2 linked regions of the Coturnix japonica genome follow. The protein of the gene in region 1 purifies or fractionates together with the protein of each later gene. This does not show direct contact. Links are inferred from orthologs where the notes say so. Each region holds a gene or a part of one and is shown on either strand. Other genes may lie near its edges. The genes, in order: BCAR1 and BCAR3.

Region 1 (10,295 bases):
CAGCCTCCAAATGGGGCCAGCTTTGTAGGGCAGGCCCAGCAGGCAGCGCCTGAGGGCTCACCCTGGTGATGGATGGAGAGTGGCAGGGGACAGCAGGCACCTGGGGAAGCCTCACAGTGCCCTTGTTAGCAGGGGCAGCCTCTTCTCCCACAGGGTGCACCCCCTCTGCCTGCACTTCATCACAGCTGCCCCTTTCTGTGCCTGATGATTTACTCTGCTGCTCCCCCCACAGTGCTGTTCTCTGGCCATGGGGTGACACTGAGGTTCCTGCTCTGGCTGTTACTGGCCTGTGATCAGCATCAGTGCCCTGGAGTGAGCCTCTATCCAGGGACTGTCTCCTGCTGAGAGGGCTCTGCTCTCGGCTGCCCCATGGACCGTGCCTGCAGTCTGTGCTGAGCCAAGGAGGGGGAAGGAAAAACCAATGTGCCCAGGCGCTGTGATACTGTGATATGCAATGGAACACACACCCCCCCCCCAGCTTCCTTCCCCTGGCCTCTCCTGTCCTGCCCCCAGGCACAGGTCACTCGTGGGGACAACAGGAAGCAGCACTCCCCCAACGCCTTTCCTGAGCCGCTGTGCTGCAGGGGTCTCAGCACACGTTCCACTCGTCTTGCCTGGTTCAGGTGGCCAGAGCCTCCTCCAAGGGCAGCGCATGGTCCTGGTGGCACCGAGTGGTGCCGCTGAGCTGGGCATGGCAGCAAGGAGCTGACCCACTTCTGTCAGCACAGGGAGGGCTGAGATGTGAGCAGGGTTGCTGCCGGGGACCAACGCAGGGAGCTCAGCTGCTGACACAAATTGGGATGAATGGCAGGGCATGGCAATGCTGATCCTTCCTCAGGGTCGTGCTCGCAGGCAGGAATGAGCCAGACACAGCGGCTCGCGTGCCTTGTGTTGAGCTGGGCCTGAGCACAATGACCTTGTGGTGACAGCCCAGTGTTTGCCACTGCAGAACAAATACGAAACAATTGTGATGATTCAATTACCGCTCCTGTTTTGAATTGCAATTTCGCTCCCTCTGTAGGTTAATTAGTAGCACAGCCCCGACAGCCCCGGGCTGTCCGTGGCAAGGGTTTGCAGCAAAGTGCATTAAAATTCAGCTGCACGGCATAAACAAGCAGCAAGGTGCTTTTTGTGCTCGCTTCCTTCCTTGCAGTGCTTAGTAGATGCCTGGTGCATGGAGCGGGAGGGCAGAGGCAGCCACCCCTTCCCTCTGCCCGTCCCTTTGGGTCCCCGTGTTCCAGCCATAGGTGCTGCTAACACCATCTCTGCCTCTGCTCCCCACAGGTACATCGAGAGGAAGGCGTTCCTGGAGCGCGTGGACCACAGGCAGTTTGAGATTGAGCGTGACATCAGACTGAGCAGGATGAAGCCCTGAGGGCCGGGGATGGCCGTGGGGTCCCACTGGCCCTGTGCCCCTGCCTGGCCACCGGGCACAGAACATATTCTCTACCCAAGCCTGCACATCCCAGCAGGTTTTTCCTTTTACTGTAATGTTTGGAGAGGGTGCTTGTCAGTGGGCAGGGTGTGCTGCAAGGGTCCCATCACCTGGCAGCTCACGGGAGCAGCCCCATGGTGCCGATCCTTTGCCACCGCTGGGTGCTGCCGTGCTTGCACGCTGACCAGAATCCAGCTCTGCTGACATGTGTGGTGGTGAGGGGCTGCAGGAAGGCTTTGTGGCTGCTGCACGTGCACAGGCTGCGGGGCTGGAGCCCTGCTCCCCGCTCTGCCAGCCCTGCAGCCTCCCCTGCCCCTCCTCGCTCTTGCCCAGACAAAGCTGAACTGTCTGCACTTGTCTGCGGGGTCTGACGGTGCTGGGGGTTTTGAAGCAAGCCGATGAAGAAATCCTCCCTTGTTTGCTCCATCGAGAAGCTGAGAGCAGCTGCAGCAGGCAGGCCAGCCCGGGGTCTGTTCACGTGAATAAAGTATTCCATCCTGGTGCTCTGTGTGCTCACAGCCTGGCTGCTCTGGGAAGCAGAGGGGCAGAGAAACTGAGGGTTGCTGTTATAAACGCATGACCATGATTGTGGAAATCACTGCGTGGTTCCTGCGTGCCCATCGTCCTCCCATCTGTCCCCATGGGATGCTGCAGGGCAGGGGCACACACAGCCATCCCCTGCACTGTTCCACACCAGCACCAGCCTCGTCCTTGCTGCTGGCGTTGGCCCTGTGCCTCAGCCCTGAGCCTGGGCTGAGCTCCGGGCTCACATGTCGGCTGCTGAGTCAGCCCTTGTGCTGGGGATGCGCTGAGAATGGACACGAACAAAACACCACGTGCTCAGGGAGCCGCAGCCCTTGTCCGTGTTACACACAGGGTGAGCCCTTATCAACCTGCTTCAACTGAAATGGGATGGCACTAAAGTGGGGCTGCTGGGATGGACATCTGCACCTCCCGACACTTCCAGGCCAGTGGCTTCGTACAGCAGGGAATGGCTGCACTTCTGACCCCCATCCCAGGCCACCCCCATGCTGTCCCGCTGCACTCCGGGCAGGGTGGAGGACAGCGGGTGGTGGCAGCTCCAGTTCCAGCGCAGGACTCAGCTCCGCTGTCCTCTGCCAGCTCTCCCAGCGTCCTGCATGTTTCCTCGCTTGGATCATGTGTTTCTTGCCTCCCTTTCCTGAAGATGAAGAGTGATTTACAGGGCTCCAGAAAACACAGCTTGGCTGCCTAGGAACTGGGGGAGAAAAAACTGGGGGAGGAAAAAAAGGGATAAAGCGTTGGAGAGAAGCCCTCTGTTGGCTATTGGCACCACCTGCCCGCAGAGGGCCTGGCCCACAGCCCCCAACTGCATCCCCTTGAATGGCCGCCGTGTCCCCGTGGGCTGGGAGCAGTTTGGGCACTGCTGAACGGCCCCTTGTGCTCGGCCCCAAACAAGGCTGCCATTGTGTGCGCCTGCCCCACGGCTCCGCTGTGGGGTCCCGTGTGGGATCCATCCCATCCTCCCCATTGTGCGGCTGCAGAGAACGGGAACGTGGCTGTTTTCTCCCCGGACGAGCTGTGGGTCGTGGCAGGACATGGGCAGCCCTTTGGGCTGTATCTGCAGCCTGACAAAACATCTCTGCCCCTGGAAAGGCGAGGGGATAAAGCCCCGTTGTGATCCTGTTGGGTCCCGTGATATTACAAGCCAACGGGAATGTCCTCATTATTTCCCCAATATTGAAGTCTAATAAATCCCCGGCTGCCTTACAGGATTTATTTATCCGTTCATTGCTAGGAGACTCAGTGCCGTGTAATCCTATTGCTGCTGCGGGGGGCGGGAGGCAGCTTTCCCAAGGATGGAGCCGCGAGGAAGCAGCCAAAAGCCAGAAGCCAAAAGCTGTGTGGGTCCGTGTGGGTCCATGTGGGTCCGTGTGGGTCCGTGTGGGTCCATGCGGGGCCTCTGCTCCACCGGGCAGCTTCAGCCCCACGCAGGGCACAGTGCCACCCCTCCCACATGTGATGGTCCCACAGAGCTGTGCCCCACTGTGTGCTGGGCTCACTGACATGTCATGGGATCATTGAATCGCAGAATGGTTCGAGTGGGAAGGATCCTAAAGGCGTCCTGCACTGAGCAGGGACACTCACAGCTCCATCAGTGCTCACAGCCCCATTCTCTGACCTTGGCTGTGTGCAGGGATGGGGCAGCACCAGCTCTGTGTGCAGCCTGTGCCACTGCCTCACCGCCCTGACTGTAAAGAACCTCTAACTTAGCTCCGGTCTGAAGCTCCCTCTGTTAGTTTGAAGCCATTTCTTGTGCCGTCAGTGAGCAGCCCGTCCCCATACACACGGCACACAGCTCCGGGGTCCCGCAGCCTTTAGTTTCCGTTTGGGCACCGACCTCCCGGGGCTGCTGCAGCACGGGGCGCTCCCCCGGGCACGTCCCGGCTGTGTTGCCGCCCGTTGAGGTGCCCGTGCCCGGGGCTGGCCCCGCAATCACCGCCGAGCGGAAGCCGCCGAGTTCCGCCTGCGGTCTGCGGACGATACCGCAGCTCCGCCGGCCCCGAGGGAGCGGACGAACGGCTGCGGGGCGGCATCGCGGGCTCGACGGGCAGCGCCCGACCGGCCTCGTGCCTCCCACGGGCAGGAAGAGCCCTACAAGGGCCGGGGAGCCCCGACGGGCGGCGATAGGACCGCGGCCCCGGCCCCGCGCCCCCCCCCCCCCCCCCCCCCCCCCCCCCCCCCCCCCCCCCCCCCCCCCCCCCCCCCCCCCCCCCCCCCCCCCCCCCCCCCCCCCCCCCCCCCCCCCCCGCTCCCCTCCCCTGCCGGCCCCCAGCGCGGCCCCGCTCCCTCCCGCTCCTCCCGCCGCAGCGCCGCCTCCCGTCGGTGCGTCGCGGCCCATGGGCGGGGCGGGGCGGTCGGGCCCGTGCTGGCACGGCGCTGGAATGATCCCTCCGGCGCGGCCGCCGCCGCCGCCACCGCCATCCCGGTTCCGGCCGCCCGCCGCGGGCCGCGCCTCTCGGACACGCAGTAGCGCCGCTCGTTGAGCGCCGCGGGGCCGCGCCCGCCAGGCGAAGATGAACTACCTGGTGAGCGGGGTCACCTTGCGGGACGGAGCGGGGGGCGGCGGGGGCGGGCGGATGGGGCCGGGCCGGGAGCGGCGGTCGGAGCGGATCCGTGATCAGCCGGGGACCGAGCGCCGGGAGCGGGGCCCGTCGGGTGGGGAAGGGCCGGACGGGGCCTCCGGGACCGAGCGCGGCCGTCACCGACCCGACCCGACCCAGCCCCCTCCGGCCACGGGGTCGGCGCTGCCCGCCCGGTCCGGGCACGGCTCGTCCCGCGGGGGGCGGGGGGCGCTGCCATTGCGGGGCTGCGCAGCGCTGCCGGCACCGCGGGATCCACCCGAGCGCGGCGGCAGGAGGAAGGACAGCGGGGGAGGGAGGGGGCACCGAGCGGGGCAACGCGGCATCACCGGCGGGACGGGCCGGCAGCGGGACGGACACACGGACACGGACACACACACGCGTGTCCCTGTGCCCGCCCGGCGGCCGGGGGGGAATTCTCGGTGCGGGCTGAGTCACCTCCATGGCACTTCCTCCCCGGCGGGAAGGGGAGGGAAAGGCAGAGGAGGTCCCCGACACCGGGAGGCGCGGGGGGTCCGGCCCCGTCCCGGCGCCGGCTCCGGGACGGGTGGGTTGAACCGGGACGAGGAGGAGCAGCGCCGGGGCCGCGTCGGGTGCCGGGCGCCCTTGGTGCCGCCGAGTCCATCCGCGATGAGTCCCGACCCGGCCCGTTGCGGGGCTCTCTTGCAGAACGTGCTGGCCAAAGCGCTGTACGACAATGTGGCCGAGTCCCCGGACGAGCTCTCCTTCCGCAAAGGCGACATCATGACGGTGCTGGAGCGCAACACGCAGGGCCTGGACGGCTGGTGGCTCTGCTCGCTGCACGGCCGGCAGGGCATCGTGCCGGGGAACCGCCTCAAGATCCTGGTGGGGATGTACGACAAGAAGCAGCAGCAGCAGCAGCAGGCGGCCGGGCCGGGGCAGGGCCAGGCACCGCCAGCACCACAGCCCACGTTGCCGTACCACCACCAAGGGGGGTACACGCCGCTGTCGCCCGCCTCGCAGTACACCGCCATGCACCCCTCCTACGCGCCACAAGGGGACAACGTCTACTTGATGCCGGTTCCTGGCAAGGGGCAGCAGGGCCTGTACTCGGGCTCGGCACCCGCTGGACAGTTTCCCCCGGCTCCGGCCAAGCAGCCCCCATCCTACCCCAAGCAAACGCCGCCCCACGGCTTCCCCAGCGCCGGGCAGGACATCTACCAGGTGCCGCCGTCCCTGAGCCAGGCGGTGGACGCTTTCCCTGCGGGCTCTGCCAGCCCCCCCCAGGACATTTACCAGGTCCCTCCCTCGGCTCAGGCTCAAGACATCTACCAAGTGCCCCCATCTTTGGATGCGAGGAGCTGGGAAGGGCCCAAGCCCTCTGGAAAGGTAGGATGGGGGTCCAGGTACGGCGGTGGGTTGATGCTGTGGGGCTCCAGTCTGTTGTGGGGTTATGGAGGGGGGGAGTGAAGCGCTTTTGGCTGAGATGAGCTGCGTTTCCCTGGAAGATCCAGTGGGAAAAAGGGGACACTGAGCACCGTGCCTCGTGGGCAGGGCACCCCATTGATTGCGAGCATCCCACAACCTCCTATGGCTGCCGCACCACATTGCACCGAGATGCGGGTGGGGGTCTGGGCTCGTCCTCCATCGCTGGGTCCCTCGGTGCCACAATTAACCTTCAGGTCTCCATTCTCATCGCACAGGGCGGCCGTGCGGCCGGGCTTTGTCTGTAGCCGAGGCTGGCTGCTATAAATAACCGGTGATCTCATCTCCGTCCCTCCAGCGTCACTGCACGGAGCGGTGACAGCTCCAGGCCGGACGGGGAGCGCCCTCGCGTGGGCACCCACCGCACGGTGCTCCCAGATGGGCTCGGGGGGCAGCAGCGGGGGGTGCGCCAGGCTCAGCCCTGCCCTCTCTCGTAGGTGCTGCTGCCCACCCGCGTGGGGCAGGCGTACGTCTATGACTCCCCCAAGGCTGAGAAGGATGAATACGACTTTCCCCGCCACCTGCTCTCCTCGGGCTCACAGGAGATCTACGATGTGCCACCTGCACGCGGTGCATTACCCAGCCAGGTCAGCAGGGATGTGGGGCTGCATGTGGGGCTGTGGGGTGATGGGCTGCAGGGATGCGGCACCCAGTGCTGGGCTGAGCCGTGGTCTCCACTGTGTGTGTGCTGGGGCCACTCTCCTGCCCCTCACACCATCCCATCTCTTCCCAGCAGGTCTATGACACTCCCCCCATGGCGGTCAAGGGTCCCAATGGGCAGGACCCAGGGCAGGAGATCTACGACGTGCCCCCCAGCGTGGAGAAGAACCTGCACCAAACCGTAAGTGCCGCAGGGGAAGCTCATGCACCAAAAGAGACACGTGAGGGTGGTGGTGCTGCAGGATTGCGCTGTGCACCTCTCCTTCCACGAGCCCACTGCACGCCCAGAGCTGTTCTTATGGGCACAGGGGAGCGGGGCTGGTGTGCATGTGTGTCTCCAGCTGCACTGACACTACGTGGTGGTGCCCTTGCAGGTATATGACGTGCCACCCTCCGTCAGCAAGGACGTGCCAGACGGCCCTGTGCGGGAGGAGACGTACGACGTGCCCCCCGCCTTCTCCAAGCAGAAAGCCTTCGAGCCCCCCCGCCACCCCCCGGTGCTCTCCCAGCAGGATTCCTACCTGCCAGAGGATGTCTACGACGTGCCACCAGCGGCTGGGAAAGCCGCCCCCGAGCCCTCGTTGTCCCACGAGATCTATGACGTGCCTCCCAGCCTCAAGAAGCTGGGGGGGTCGGCCTTCCCCTTGCAGGAGGTGTACGATGTGCCGCGGGACCTGCACGCCCCCAGCAAGGGCTCGATGGACATGGAGGGTGAGTACATCTACGATGTCCCACCACAGGTGGACCGCGAGGCCAAGGCAGCTGACACCAAGCGTCTCTCGGCCTCCAGCACGGGCAGCACCCGCAGCAACATCTCCACCTCCTCACTGGACACTGTGCCCGTAAAGGAGCCGGCCAAAGGAGCCGGCAGGGAGTTCTCCCTGGACTTGGATGCTGCCATGGAGATGCTGGCCAAGCTCCAGCTCGGCGTCAGCGGTGCCGTCTCCAGCCTCATGTCCTTCATCAGCACCAACTGGCGCAGCCCCGAGCACATGGAAGCCAATGCTGCCGGCATCCGCCTGGCAGCCGAGGGTGTTCAAACAGCCCTCAGGGAGCTGCTGGAGTTTGCCCGGGGGGCAGTGGGCAACGCTGCCCAGGCCTCGGACCGCTCACTGTACGCCAAGCTCAGCAAGCAGCTGCAGAAGATGGAGGAGGTCTACCAGGCCCTGGGGCGGCACAGCCAGGCGCTGGATGCATGTCACTGGGCTCCCAGTGCCTTGGTGGCTGGCAAACCGGGCACGGACGACTTGGAGCTGTTCGTCATGTACTCGCGTGGTGTGCCCGATGACACCAAGCAGCTCGCCTCCTTCCTGCATGGCAATGCTTCTCTGCTCTTCAAACGGACAAAGCCAGCGCCAGAGGGCAATGGCCACGGGCCCACGCACCCCTCTGACAAGGCCAGCAGCATCCAGTCACGGCCCCTGCCCTCCCCACCCAAGCTGCTGGCACAGGAGTCCCCCGAGGGTCCCTACGAGAACCACGAGAGCGGCTGGATGGAGGATTATGACTACGTGCACCTCCAGGTGGGTGCGGGCTGGGGGCACCCTGTGGGTGACGTGGGTGGGATTTCTGTCTCCTCATCTGGGTCTTGCTTTTCCCCTCCTGTTATGGCTGTAGGAACTGAGGGCATCCTGGTGCAGGGCTGGGGGGCTCCATCCTGATAGGGCTTGTGGTTTTCCCCCTTCTCACCCTCCTTCCTTTCTTTCAGGGCAAGGAGGAGTTTGAGAAGACGCAGAAGGAGCTGCTGGAGAAAGGCAACATTATCCGGCAGAGCAAGGACCAGTTGGAGCACCAGCAGGTAATGGGGCTGGGGGATAAGCATGGCTCAGTGGGGACCCTGGGGTGGGGAGGGCAGTAGGGTTGGGCTCCTGTTCCCCATTCCCACAGCCGTGAGCTCCCCATGGCTCTGTCCGGCTCTTCTCTGATGCCAGATAGGATCGGGGCGCTGTCCCACGTGGCATCCCCTGGGGTGCAGCCATCGCTGTGGGGCTCGGTGGCCACCCTGCCTGTCCTCACACCCATCTCTCCCCATAGCTGAAGCAGTTTGAGCGGCTGGAGCAGGAGGTGACGCGCCCCATTGACAACGACCTGTCCAACTGGAGCCCTCCCCAGCACTACGGCCCTGTACGGGGCGGTGGTGCCCTGTGTGCCGCCGACCACCAGCTGCTCCTCTTCTACCTGGAGCAGTGCGAGGCCAACCTCACCACGCTCACCAATGCTATTGACGCCTTCTTCACCGCTGTCAGCACCAACCAGCCCCCAAAAATCTTCGTGGCCCACAGCAAGTTCATCATCCTCAGCGCCCACAAGCTCGTCTTCATCGGCGACACACTGTCCCGCCAGGCCAAGGCGCAGGACGTGCGGCACAAGGTGACACACTACAGCAACCTCCTGTGCGAGATGCTCAAGGAGATCGTGGTGAGCACCAAAGCGGCTGCGCTGCACTACCCGTCACCTGCCGCCTCCAAGGACATGGTGGAGCGCGTCAAGGACCTTGCCAACAGCACGCAGCAGTTCAGGAGGGTGCTGGGCCAGCTGGCTGCCATGTGATGGCCCTGTGCTGTTCCCCCTCCCATTGCCCTCTGCCCAGCGTAACAGACCTGTACATAGAGACTCACACAGGGGTGAGGGGCCGCAGCTGTCATCCCCCTCCCCTCTCATCCTCTCGACATTGGTTTCAGAGCCATGCCCGCAGTGCCCAGGGTTGCAATCTCTCCCTTCTGTGCTCGTTCCCCTGCTCCAGTTGAAGTGGGGCTGGCAGTGGGGCTGCTCCAGTGTCCTGGGGTGATGCTGTGGGCTCCATCGGCACATCGGCCATCTGTTGTAGTGTTGTGGCACAGACAGAGCCAGGCAAGCAGCAGCAGTAGGGAGATGAAGAGTGCTGTCCTGAGTGACAAGGGAAGGGGTGAGGGGCAGCCGGGGTGGGAGGAGGGGCTTGAACCTTTGCATTTCAAGTCTTGGTTTTGCTGTACCAACTGTAATTGAAATGCAAACCGACATTGGTGCCTTCTGAACACTGGGGAAGCTTCCTCCTTCCTCACAGTTCCCGGAGCCATGGAGTTGCAGCCGCCCCCAAAACTCAACCCCCTGGTCCCACAGCAGCATAAAGATTTGCCTAGAAATTCCCCTGGCACCTGGCTGTGTGTGTGCGGTGCTGGGATCGGGCGCCCTGTGTGTGCAACTGGGGTGTCCTTTCCCCCAAAAGCAGCGGTGCTGGAGCATGGCTGGGGTGCCACGTGCTTTATGGCAAAGCAATAACATGGGTTTGTTCATAGCATCTTGATGTGGAACAGGATGTGGCACTGGCTGTGGGCACAAGCAGCGGTGAAGATGCAGTGCTGCACAGCCCACAGCCACCCACACTTTGCTGTGCTCCTCACACCTACACCTGGGTTGCAGTGTAACTGCTGTGCAGATGGAGGCAGTGCCAGCACAGCAGGTGCCGTGGTAGCCCTGGGCCGTGGGCACCCAGAGCCCAGCTGTGGGCTCACAGGGCTTGATGCAGTGCCCCAGCATGTATCTGGTGCTCGGGACAGCCCCAACCCTGTGCACCCACCTCCTGCCCAATTCCTATGTGCCACGCCTCGGCTCCCACGGTGATTCCCCAGCCCTGTTCCTGTGTGCCAAAGTGC
Region 2 (10,307 bases), on another chromosome or scaffold:
AAGCTCAACTTTTGCCCCATGCAGAGGTGTTGTTAGCTCTCTCCTATTTGAGACATTTTACAGAAACATGAAAAAAGTAAAAGTACACAGGGAAGTCTTAGCTCGACAGTAATAGCTTGTTCACTACTAGGAGGAAAAAGGAAAATGGACCCTGTGGTAAAAAGGAGCTTATAAAACCTTATATAGCTTTTTTTCTGATATTTTCTTCCAGACTGTCATTTGCCAAAAGTGATCAGCAACAAGTGGTTTAAGTGCAGTTTTAACTTTATAATTCAGACTTCTGAAACTGGTCTGTCTAATCTAAACCAACACAAGTTGTTTGACATAATTTTCAGTGCTAAACTGAAGGTTGGAAGTGGTGCTGTTGAACATGTTATTCTCATAGAATATGTGCAATCATTTATTTTTTCAGTGCAGAATGGGTTTACTTAATAATTGGTAGTTGTTGAAGTTGATAATCTTTCAATTTTTATTTTCTCCGACAAGGGCTGTATTTTACTCTCCTTTTCTTTTTGCTTCTAAGAGTGTCTGATATTAGCTGACTCATGGCACGTAGAATTCAGCAGCAGGCAGCTATAAAAACTTCTTGATTTCCTCACCAACAGTTATGTTGAACATTATTTTTTCCATGTGGCATCTGTGGGAGTTGAGGGCATGTAACATTTTGCTTGTTTGGATTGTTTCTCTTCTAAGACAAGTCCAGAGTACAAACTTGCTTTAGCTTTTGTTCATTAAGAAGTTAAGAACAGCTATGCATCCCCTGTATTCATCTTACATAGTTAATCTGGGTTCTATCTTTTCAGCTGAACAGCAGCACTTTTAAAGTAGATAGATTTCTTCCCAGTTATTTTAGGGCTGTAATTCTGATGTTTAAGGTTAAACTGAAAAGTTCCAGTGAATCTCTGCATCATCTCTTTTTCTAACTGTGAGCTAAACACACTCTGTAAACGATCTCTTGTGAACCTCATGTACCTCAAGGAAGTACTCAGTTCCTAGCACAGTTAAGGTGAACAACCTACAACAGCACAGTTCTTGGACTGTCTCAGCTGTCAGTTCTGTTCCTCCTCAATTACTTGTTTATGTTCGTATCGATGTCTTTGCATTAGGTGAAAATATACAACTGTACATAGTCCTTTCCTTCTGAAAGCAGAAGTCAGTGGTGACCATATGTGCCCACAGCTGCATGTGATGTGTGGTCAACAGTGTTCTGCGCACCATTGTTTTCTTAGCCTCCCCCATCTGATATCGTGAAGTACGGTGATTCACCACTAGAAGTTTTGCAGCAAGGTGACGAGCAGACAACATGACGTTATGTAGATAAACAGATGAGTAAGGGCTATGACAGGTCAGAATACTGATAGAAAGAGCTGGCAGAGGTGTTGTAGTTGCTTCAGGGCACTAGTGCTTCCAGAGTTCTAATAACATCTCAATAAACCCATTTCTGAAGTAGATTTAATACAGTGTTAATGCACCAAAAAATGACAACAAGGACTCTAATCTAGCTTGATTCCAATTAACTCTCTAGTTTACTGTAGTAACTCACAGTAACGTAATGTGGTACTATGAATTCTTCATTCTTACAGGTTGCAGATAAATCTTCTTTAAAATATGTGCACATTGTGTACAGTGTTGTACATAAAGGAAAAGGCCAGTGTTCATTTTGATTTGAAGGCAAAGTCAACTCTTTGGAAAAGGATGTAATGACTCATGCAAGAGTAATCACAGTCTATGCAGTGCTGCCCAGCTACCAGTTCCATTACTGAGCACTCAGTCATGTTACTAAGGAAATTGCAACTTCTTTTCTAAGTCTTATTCATAAAAGGTGACAACAAACCACGACATTACTTCCTATGTAATGGCAGTGCCTGAAAGTTTCCTGGAGTTGTAGCACTGTTTTCTGTGGAGACCATCTTACATGGTAACTGATCTGAATTGTTTGTGTGATGTTAGATATTTTTCACTGAACTGTGGAACATGTGGAGAAGCAAGATCTCTCCTGTGAAAATATTTATCACTGTGATATGTGTTACAAAAATGTAAGTACAGGTCATACAGAAAGTACATGGCTCACAATATTGGAAGTATAATCCAGATCCCTCAACTTCTCTTTCTGGTTTTGTTTTGTTTTTTTTTTTTGCCCCAGTTTTGGTTTTCATGAACAGGAGAAATGAAATGAAGAAAATGTGTGCAAGAGATCTCCTGAAACAGAGGAATTGTACAGCCAATGGGAATCAAGTATTTAATGTCAGAATCAATAAGATGCTTAGTTAGGCAGATAAATATTTGCTTCTGAAATGTTAATGCCAATAGGTTGGCTATTAAGATATTTCTGAACTGTTGGATGAAGAGGGAAAGTGTCATCAAAATTATTAAACATGTATCTTCTATTTTTGAAGCATTTTTTCCTTACGAGCCCTGTGTTTCAAGAAGCTATTCTGAATCACTGTAATCAGCCACTGAATGCCAAGAATGAACTCCCAGCTAGTGCTTATCAAGGCCTCTGGCTTTAAAGTAAAGAGCTCAACCAATTGCATAAATGAAAATGAAAGGTATTGGCAGCTAAGGGTATTTCCTGCTGGCTGGCTCACAGTGATGGGCAGCAAGGCAAAGCAGTTAGTGTGATAGCCTTGCTTCTGTGTCGGGCATTTTATTAGGGCTCCCAGAAGCAATATTAGGGAAGATTGAGGCAAACGGTAGAATGCCAGATGTACACAGACCATGGCTGAATTGAAATAGGCAAAAAATGGGATTATCTGGGGAAAGGAGATGTAAGGCTTGAGTGTGTATCTCAGAGGTGATGTTAAAAACGCAGGGGGGAGCGGGGTGGATGTTTGGCTGCAGAGTCAGACCGTGCTGTTCTTGGTAGCAAAGAGGGAACTAGCTCAGCAGTTCTGGTTCGGAGGAAAGAGGGCGGTGAGTTTGCTGCTCTCAGCTGGTCTGCTAGCGCACGATCCCTCACAGATGTTTGAGCCTTTGTTCTGTCCGCCAACCTGTTGCCCAGATAACTGCTTGTAACGTGGTGGGAGGAGGGGGAAGTCTGCTGATGTAAGGAGTTGGCGAATGGCATGTATGCAATGCTCTTTGAATTGTCCGTCAGCAGGGCGGATTTGGGAAGCCGTTAATTCTAGCTCTGCAGTGCTAATTTGGGACAGAAATTACGGAAGGCAAGTTCTTGAAGCCGAGGAAAAAGGAGCAGCGAGAGGTCACTGTGTGTACGGGGCTGTGTGTCCCGGCAGCAAACCGAGGGGCGGGGCGTCGTAACTCAGCGCCCCCGCTGCCCGTGCTGCTCACAGCGCCCGCGGTCCGCGCTGTGCCGGACTCACTCCCGCACGGCCGGGCTCGGGCGGCGCCGCGCAGCCCCGCAGGTGAGTGGCACCGGGGTCGGGCTGTGCGCTGGGGTGAGGGCGGCAGTCACGGAACGCAGGAACCAAGGTCCGCGGCCGGGGTATAAGGCGCCGTCTGTGCTTGCCGACGGGTGAGCGATAAGGAGTTCGGAGGGCTGAGGTTGTCACCTTTGCTTTAGTTATCGCGATCCGCTCTTCTTCGGGGCAAGTTGGTGCAAGCGTTCGCTGCGGCTTCCGCCGCGGCAGGGCGAAACCCTGGGCCCATCGAGAATGCCCCGGGCGGTTACTGCGGGCGCCCCGGCCGCCCCCTCGCCCCAGCAGTCCGGCGGGCCCGGGGGGAGACCGCCCGGCAGGGAGCGGAGCTGCAGCCGGTCTCCGGAAAGCCGAGCCAGAACGGGAGCGATCAGACCGGCAGCTGCTGGGACGGCGTTTTCCTTCGGCTTGGAGAACGACGAGCAGGGTTTGTGCGAGAGTTTATGTGCCCCCGAGCTCCCGCTCCCCGGCCCGGCCGCGTGCTGTACGGGAACCGGCGGCCTGCGGGATCGGCGCCCCTGGAAATGCAGCGGGTGCTCGCAGGTGGACAGATCGATGAGCTGGGGGTACCGAGCTGTTCCGTAGGGAGAAAGGAAATACTGCCGCCGTCTTTTTTGGTCGGTTAAAGAGGAGCTTGTATGTAAGCGCTGCTTTCTGTCCAAATTTGCAGTGTAGGTAAGGTGGTTGTTCCAAATCACGAAGCACATACTTACTGCTGAAAAAAACGTTGAACTATTTAATTTGAAGTTAGTGTAGGATTTTCTTTTACTAAAATCGTGGGAGTACAACAGCAGGAAAATAATAAATTACTTCCTATGTTAGAGGAGGGTCAAAAGTTGTGTTTCGAAGCATTAGCTGAGCAGCACTTAAATCGGACTGTAACCTTAGTGAACTCTGTTTCATCCAGCTAAATGGAGATAAAATGTTCACTGCAAGTTAAGGCTTCAGCAGTACAGAGCTAACTGGTTGGGTACCGAAGCTTATAAGATTATAGCATATGCTAAATGATGAGATCTACTTGTTTATTGATCCCTCTTCACTGATTGCTTTTTATGGCTTTTTTATTATTATTGTTGTTATTATTTTTTAATATATAAGGGCATTTTAAGTATGAAAACTCAGAAAGAAAAGCATGGGTTTTATCTCTTTGTTTAATCTCAAAACAGAGCAAATTCAGAGATAACTTGTCCTGGCCTACATGCTTTCTATTGCTTCAGAATGAGAACAGTTTGGTAACTCCCCAGGACCCTTTGGAAGCACTGACCTGTCTTTAATCCTGTGTGGAGTTCCTGATGTTTGACAGACTTGCATGTTTTCTGATAGCAGCTTAAAGCCTTTGTACTATTGTGTATGCTTTCTCAATCTACTTCTGCTTATCGTAAGTTCTTGAGCCTTCATATTCTTCTCAAAGTCCTGTGACCCATTGCAGCTACTGCGTAAGTTTATCTTAACAAAAACCCATAAAATATAGATTGTAGCCATCTGGGGAGAAGAAAAAGTCTTTTCTTGTTTCTTTTTATACTAGTGAAGATGACTCTATATTGCTTCTCAGCAAATAATTAACACAAAATCTGTGTAGCATGTGCAAACATACCAGGTAACTCAACAGTAAGATTAAAGTTCTGTATCTGTCTGTATTTACTATTACTGCTTTGTAGGGTTGGAGGGAAGGTAGAAGACTGTTGTAAGGAAATCTGCTGTGTCAGAATTAACTGGGGTTCTTATGAAAGTTGTCTCCATCTCATAAAGACCTGAGATCATAACACAGTTCTTTGATTTGGATATACTAAACCATTTTCTTGCCCTCTTAGCTTTGTAGTGCGCATGATGATAAAGAAGTGGTAAGACTGAGCAAAGCGGCTGATGGTGATATGATAACACCTAGTCTAGACTTCAGAAAGTCTGAAGTATTGGTAGTTCTCCCTGTTAGAAAATTCGTACTTCTCTCAGAATTGTATTGATCTAATATCTAAATCTGGTTTGGATATAATTCAGAGTTTTAAGACAGCTTGATTGAGTCTGATTCAGAGCTTGGAAATTGCTTTTCCAGTTTCCATATACAGCCTTGGACTGTTGGCTAAGCCATTCATAAATCTCTGACACCAAACTAGAGATTTCCTTCATGTTTCCTCCTATAGGGTGTGAAATCAAGGTAGCAGCCAATGGCACTGGTTCTGTTTCCTTGTGGGATGGAAAGGCTGTCTACTTTTGCACCCATGTCAAAGCTGAGTGACACTTCAGTCTATGAATTGCATCCAAATTTTTTTTATGAAGTCTGAACCAGAAAGTTTGTATGAGGGCTGCTCTAACAGCAATGCCTGCTATTTTATTGTGTTTGCCCACTGTGGCAGAGGCGTGTGTTGGTTGTAGAGGTTGAAGTTTCTCACCAATATTCCATTACATGTTTTTGCCATGGGACAGATGGCAGCAAGGGGGCGGTCAGACAGAATGGCATCTGATATGGAAGTGTACGTGAAGCAAAGGTGTGTCAACTTTTCCACTCTGTGTGGAAGAAATGGCATCCACTGACATTCATTGCCACTTACTGAATGTTTATGGACACCATGCGATGGATGTGAGCACAATGAGACAGTGGGTGGTGTGTTTCAGTAGTGACAACAGCAACAGTGGGTCATCTCCACTGATGCAGACCACAGCATGCAGCTTCTTGTTCATCACCAGCAAAAATGCATGGCTAGTGGTAGTGACTGTGTTGAAAAATAGTGTTTCGTAGCTGAGAATTTCTTTATAGGATAGTTATCGTGTTTGTTGTATCTGTTGTGGTGTCCTTGAAAATAAATAGGAAGCATTATTTTCAGAGCAGCATATATATTTGCATTCCAAGAGGATTTTTGTGTGTAATTTTGGAGAAAGCAAAGTTTGTTTTATTCTTCATGTCTTTTTTTTTTTCTTTTTTGTTTTTTTTTCTTTTTTGTTTTGAGCAATGTGAAGAGCGCCCATCCTGCTGGGTTAGAGCTCTGTTCATGTTTGATCTTGCCCATCAGATATGTATGTCATTCTGTGTGCAATCTCATAAGGTTTTGTAAGGGCCATGTTGATTCTAAAGATAACTTAATTTGTATTCCCCTTTCCCCCAGTTGTTACAAAAAGACAAGTTAGAAGTTAGCTGGAAACACTTAATTCCCTCCAATTTTCTGAACATAGAATCTAGTTCGATTCCCTCATACGTTCCTCAATTACAGACTGAAAAAGGGAAATACCATTCTCCATTTAAAAAAACAAACAACAAAAAACTGCCTTTTTTGTTGTTGTTTAACAGTTACTGTTAAGAAATAAACTGTATGTAGCTAGAGGGAACCTGCATGACTCGTGAAGCACTCTGTTTGGTTAAATGCTACATTTTGACAAATAGGAATTTGTTCATCTAAGTTACTTTTGGCCTGTCCTTCTGCTATTATTTCTACCATTTCCATTATTGAGTGCATGATTGCAGATGTTCTAAGTGCTGTGTCTCTTAGAACCTCTTCAGTTTTTCTTCCTATCTCTAGTCAAACAAAGACAGACATTCTTTGAATCATATGCTCAAGTATTTGAGACATTTCAGATTCTTCAGCTGAAGAGCTTCCCTCCTTGCATTGCTTACATTAAGTACAATAAAAACATGGATAGTTTGGCAAGACTTATCAAGTTAGTTGCTGTAATTTCAGTCGCCATTTGTTAAGAATACATAGTATAAGAGCAAGTAGGCTTTTGTTTTGGGTTGGTTTTTTCCTTTTTTGAGGGGAGTATTCCTTGACATATCAAAGCTTCTGTGCACACACAATTTTGGCTAAGTGTCCTACAAGTTCTTAATTGTATTTCTTAGGTTGGGAACTTCAACTTGATTACTCAAAAAATGTAAAAAAAAATAAATAAAAAATGTGAATTTGAGAATTAGGTGTTGAATATGAGAAATGTAGAATGTTACTGAGGGCGTGAGTTTTATAAGAGGTACAATGATTAGGGCATAACTGACAGAAGTATGGTTGGTTTTTCCATTTTAAGGAGAGCCTGAGAAATTAAAAGAAAAATGGTGTATTTCAGAGGGTCATCATTTATTTGGTAAATATTGAATTGGAAACTTACTGAGTTGCTATAATTATCCTGAGATTGGGTTAGGAGAGGGAATCATTGTCTTTCTTTGTGAATCCTCAAACAGGATCCGTAAAAGTTGTTGAGAGTGTATTGCCATTGTAAGCATCGGCTCACCTGGTGCTGTTAAATTGAAGCTTTCTTTGGTTAAACTTACACCTACTCAGTTTTACTACCAATTGATATGAAATATGTTTCATTTCAGCTTAGTGGAAGCGTGCAGAAAAGCCTAAGCAAATTGCTTCTGATTAGGTGATCTACACTTACATAGTCAAACCTCAGAGTTTTGAATGTGTTTTTTAATAAAGCAATAAGAAAATATGATTGTTAAGTACAGAATCTCAGCGCAAAAAGGAAAATAGCATCGGATTTTGAAATATAAGTGACTTGGCCTCCATTTTTCCATTCCTTTATAAGTGATATTTGCTCTTTTACATTAAGCACACCTTATTAAGGTTGAGGTTTCAAATGATTGTGAGACTTCTAAGAAGCTTAATTTTTTTTTTTTTTTTAATTGTTTTACCTGCTTGTTGCTTGAGATCCATGTTATTATTCTTCCATGATAATAAAGCTGAGCTTACTGGAAAGGAGCTCTGTCAGTTTGTTCTAGTTAGGAAACTGTAGCTTTGTGGTAAACATTTACATTTTAGAGCTTCTTATCTCTGGACCAGTTGTTTTTTTTTAGAATATTTGTAATACAAATATCTGTATTTGCAAAGGCCTTGCAGCACTTTGTTTTATTTTGAAATTGATCATGCAATATTATTAGTACTGACAATCAGAAACCATATCTTCAAGGCACTTGATAAATGAAGAGGTAACAGTATTTCACAACAAGGGCCCATAGGAAAATTTATTAAGGACTTTTGTGAGTGTGTGGCTTTCTTTCTTTCAAGTTTTGAGTATTATTTGGATCTATGTAACTAACATACACATTTCATTTTAACTTCTCAGCTCTTTTTCTAGTCTTTGCAGCAAGAAACCTGACCAAAGTCAAACAGATACTCAGAACTGCCATTTACAGAGGCTTTTCTGCTAGAGTACATAGCAGCTGTGCTGGAAGCCTTGACAAATTAAAGATTAAAAAAATCATAGCCTAAATATCATTTATCATAATGATCATCATATTCAAATATTATCCTATTTATTGTAGGACTTTTGATATGAGAGAAGTGGGATGGAATTTGAGATGGAATTCTGGGAACCTGTGAATTTGCAACACAGCTGGAAGAAAATAGAATAAATTTGAGATCAGTTTTAGTGTTACTGTAAAACCAAGCCTGTTACAGCAACCATTGAGCAGAAGTAACTATAGTATCAATGCAGCCTCACTTTCTTAGTACCTATGGTGCTCAGGCTGGAGGAGTGAGCAGGACTATAGACCCAGCTCTGATTCTGTTGCAACACCTGTGCATTTCCCAAAACCAGAGGAATTCTCATGTAGCTGGAAGCTGTCTTCCAGGCTGCTAGGCCTTTGAGGTACTACTCTTTGTTTTGTTTAGTTTCCTGACATGAAACTAGGCCAAGTCAAAACAGATTCTCTCAGTCAGCTAATGCAGAAAATCTTTCTTGCCTTCAGTTTATCAGTCTGTGCTGCTCTTGTGGTTATTCCAGTTTGCCTAGGAGACACCTGGTTGGCTACCGCCTGGATCAAATAGCGTGGGGTTGGTTGACCTTGTGTCATTTGTTCCATAGAATGGCATTAGTTGGCTAGTATACCTGGATAGGACAAAGCATCTCGACTTCTATAATGTAATACTATGAAGTGAGTGTGAGGTAGGTGGGGTTGTGTGTGCTTTTGTTGTTGTTTTTTCCTTTTGATGAAGCGGGATCCATTAGTGTGTCTGAAGTGTTTGCCTCACAAGGTTTTTTGCTCATGATAACAGAAAGACCTGTACTGTACTGCAGGCTATAACTGATTGAAAAAGAGACTGACAGCTATGTAAATCCCTATTGTCAACAACCATTTGAGCCAGCAGGCTGTGCATGCTGCAGAAGAGAATTCCAGTAATCTGTTCCTGCCATTATCTCTAGAGTAGAGCCCTTTCGTTTTCAGTTAGAAATGTGTGACTGGTTCTTGTCTTGATTTATTACTTGAGCAAGACTGTCCAGAAAGATTTTTCCTAACTGTGCCATCCACTGGATTTAGAAATGTACTTTTCCAAACCAAGCTGTTGTGTCCCTTATTTTTTGTCAGAATGCTCTTAAAACTTTTGCTTTTTGTTAATTATTTTAAGTTGGTGCCCAAGTTCTCCGATGATATAAAGAAAAAAAAATTTTAAAAAAGTTGGTACATAAAAGTTAATAAACATGTGTTTGACACATGCAGTTGAGTGGAATGTGACTTGATTATAGTACAGGCTACGCCTTGAAGGAGATAACTGTGTTAAAGCAAAGTTCAGTTCAGTTCTAGGTGCTGTATAGTTGGAATAATACAAGTGTATAGTTGTAATTACAGAGTAAATAGCCAGAGGGTATCTAAGAAAAGACTCACCAGTGCTGAGGCTTTCAGTTGAAATGGATGCTCACCAATGTTGAGGCTCACTACAAAAACTTCACGAAGGAGTGATCTCCAGGAGGAGATGCTACCTTGGTAGTGGTCAGTCCTTAAATGAGATCTAGGAGAGGTGGAGTTAAGCTTCACCCCTTCCAGGAGCACAGCTGAATTACCTTCACCCATGCTCCCACAGCTGACTCGTTGCTTGTCTCAGGTGGTTTATCAGAGGTTCAGGCTGTGATCAACAGTTTCCTTTACAGGTGCTTTTGTTAATCACAATATTTAATTTCCATTAAAATGGGTCTTCAATTCTTACTGATTTTATTATTATTATTATTTTT

What was found.
Region 2: the proteins of BCAR1 (region 1) and BCAR3 purify together in Homo sapiens (co-immunoprecipitation; 4 studies listed by BioGRID and IntAct, counting the BioPlex papers as one, with this or other methods). This does not show direct contact. The link is inferred for Coturnix japonica from reciprocal best matches to the Homo sapiens genes BCAR1 and BCAR3.

Annotation. Positions count from the first base shown.
Region 1 is NC_029526.1:678,288-688,582, forward strand, and holds BCAR1 (breast cancer anti-estrogen resistance protein 1), read left to right. Parts: upstream 1-4,522; 5' UTR 4,523-4,554; coding exon 4,555-5,907; intron 5,908-6,440; coding exon 6,441-6,590; intron 6,591-6,736; coding exon 6,737-6,844; intron 6,845-7,037; coding exon 7,038-8,186; intron 8,187-8,371; coding exon 8,372-8,461; intron 8,462-8,697; coding exon 8,698-9,213; 3' UTR 9,214-9,789; downstream 9,790-10,295. Other genes in the region: CFDP1 (craniofacial development protein 1), read left to right, coding at 1,285-1,375. UniProt on the Homo sapiens protein: Docking protein which plays a central coordinating role for tyrosine kinase-based signaling related to cell adhesion. Implicated in induction of cell migration and cell branching. Involved in the BCAR3-mediated inhibition of TGFB signaling.
Region 2 is NC_029523.1:11,959,518-11,969,824, forward strand, and holds the start of BCAR3 (breast cancer anti-estrogen resistance protein 3), read left to right. Parts: upstream 1-3,593; 5' UTR 3,594-3,614; coding exon 3,615-3,804; intron 3,805-10,307. UniProt on the Homo sapiens protein: Acts as an adapter protein downstream of several growth factor receptors to promote cell proliferation, migration, and redistribution of actin fibers.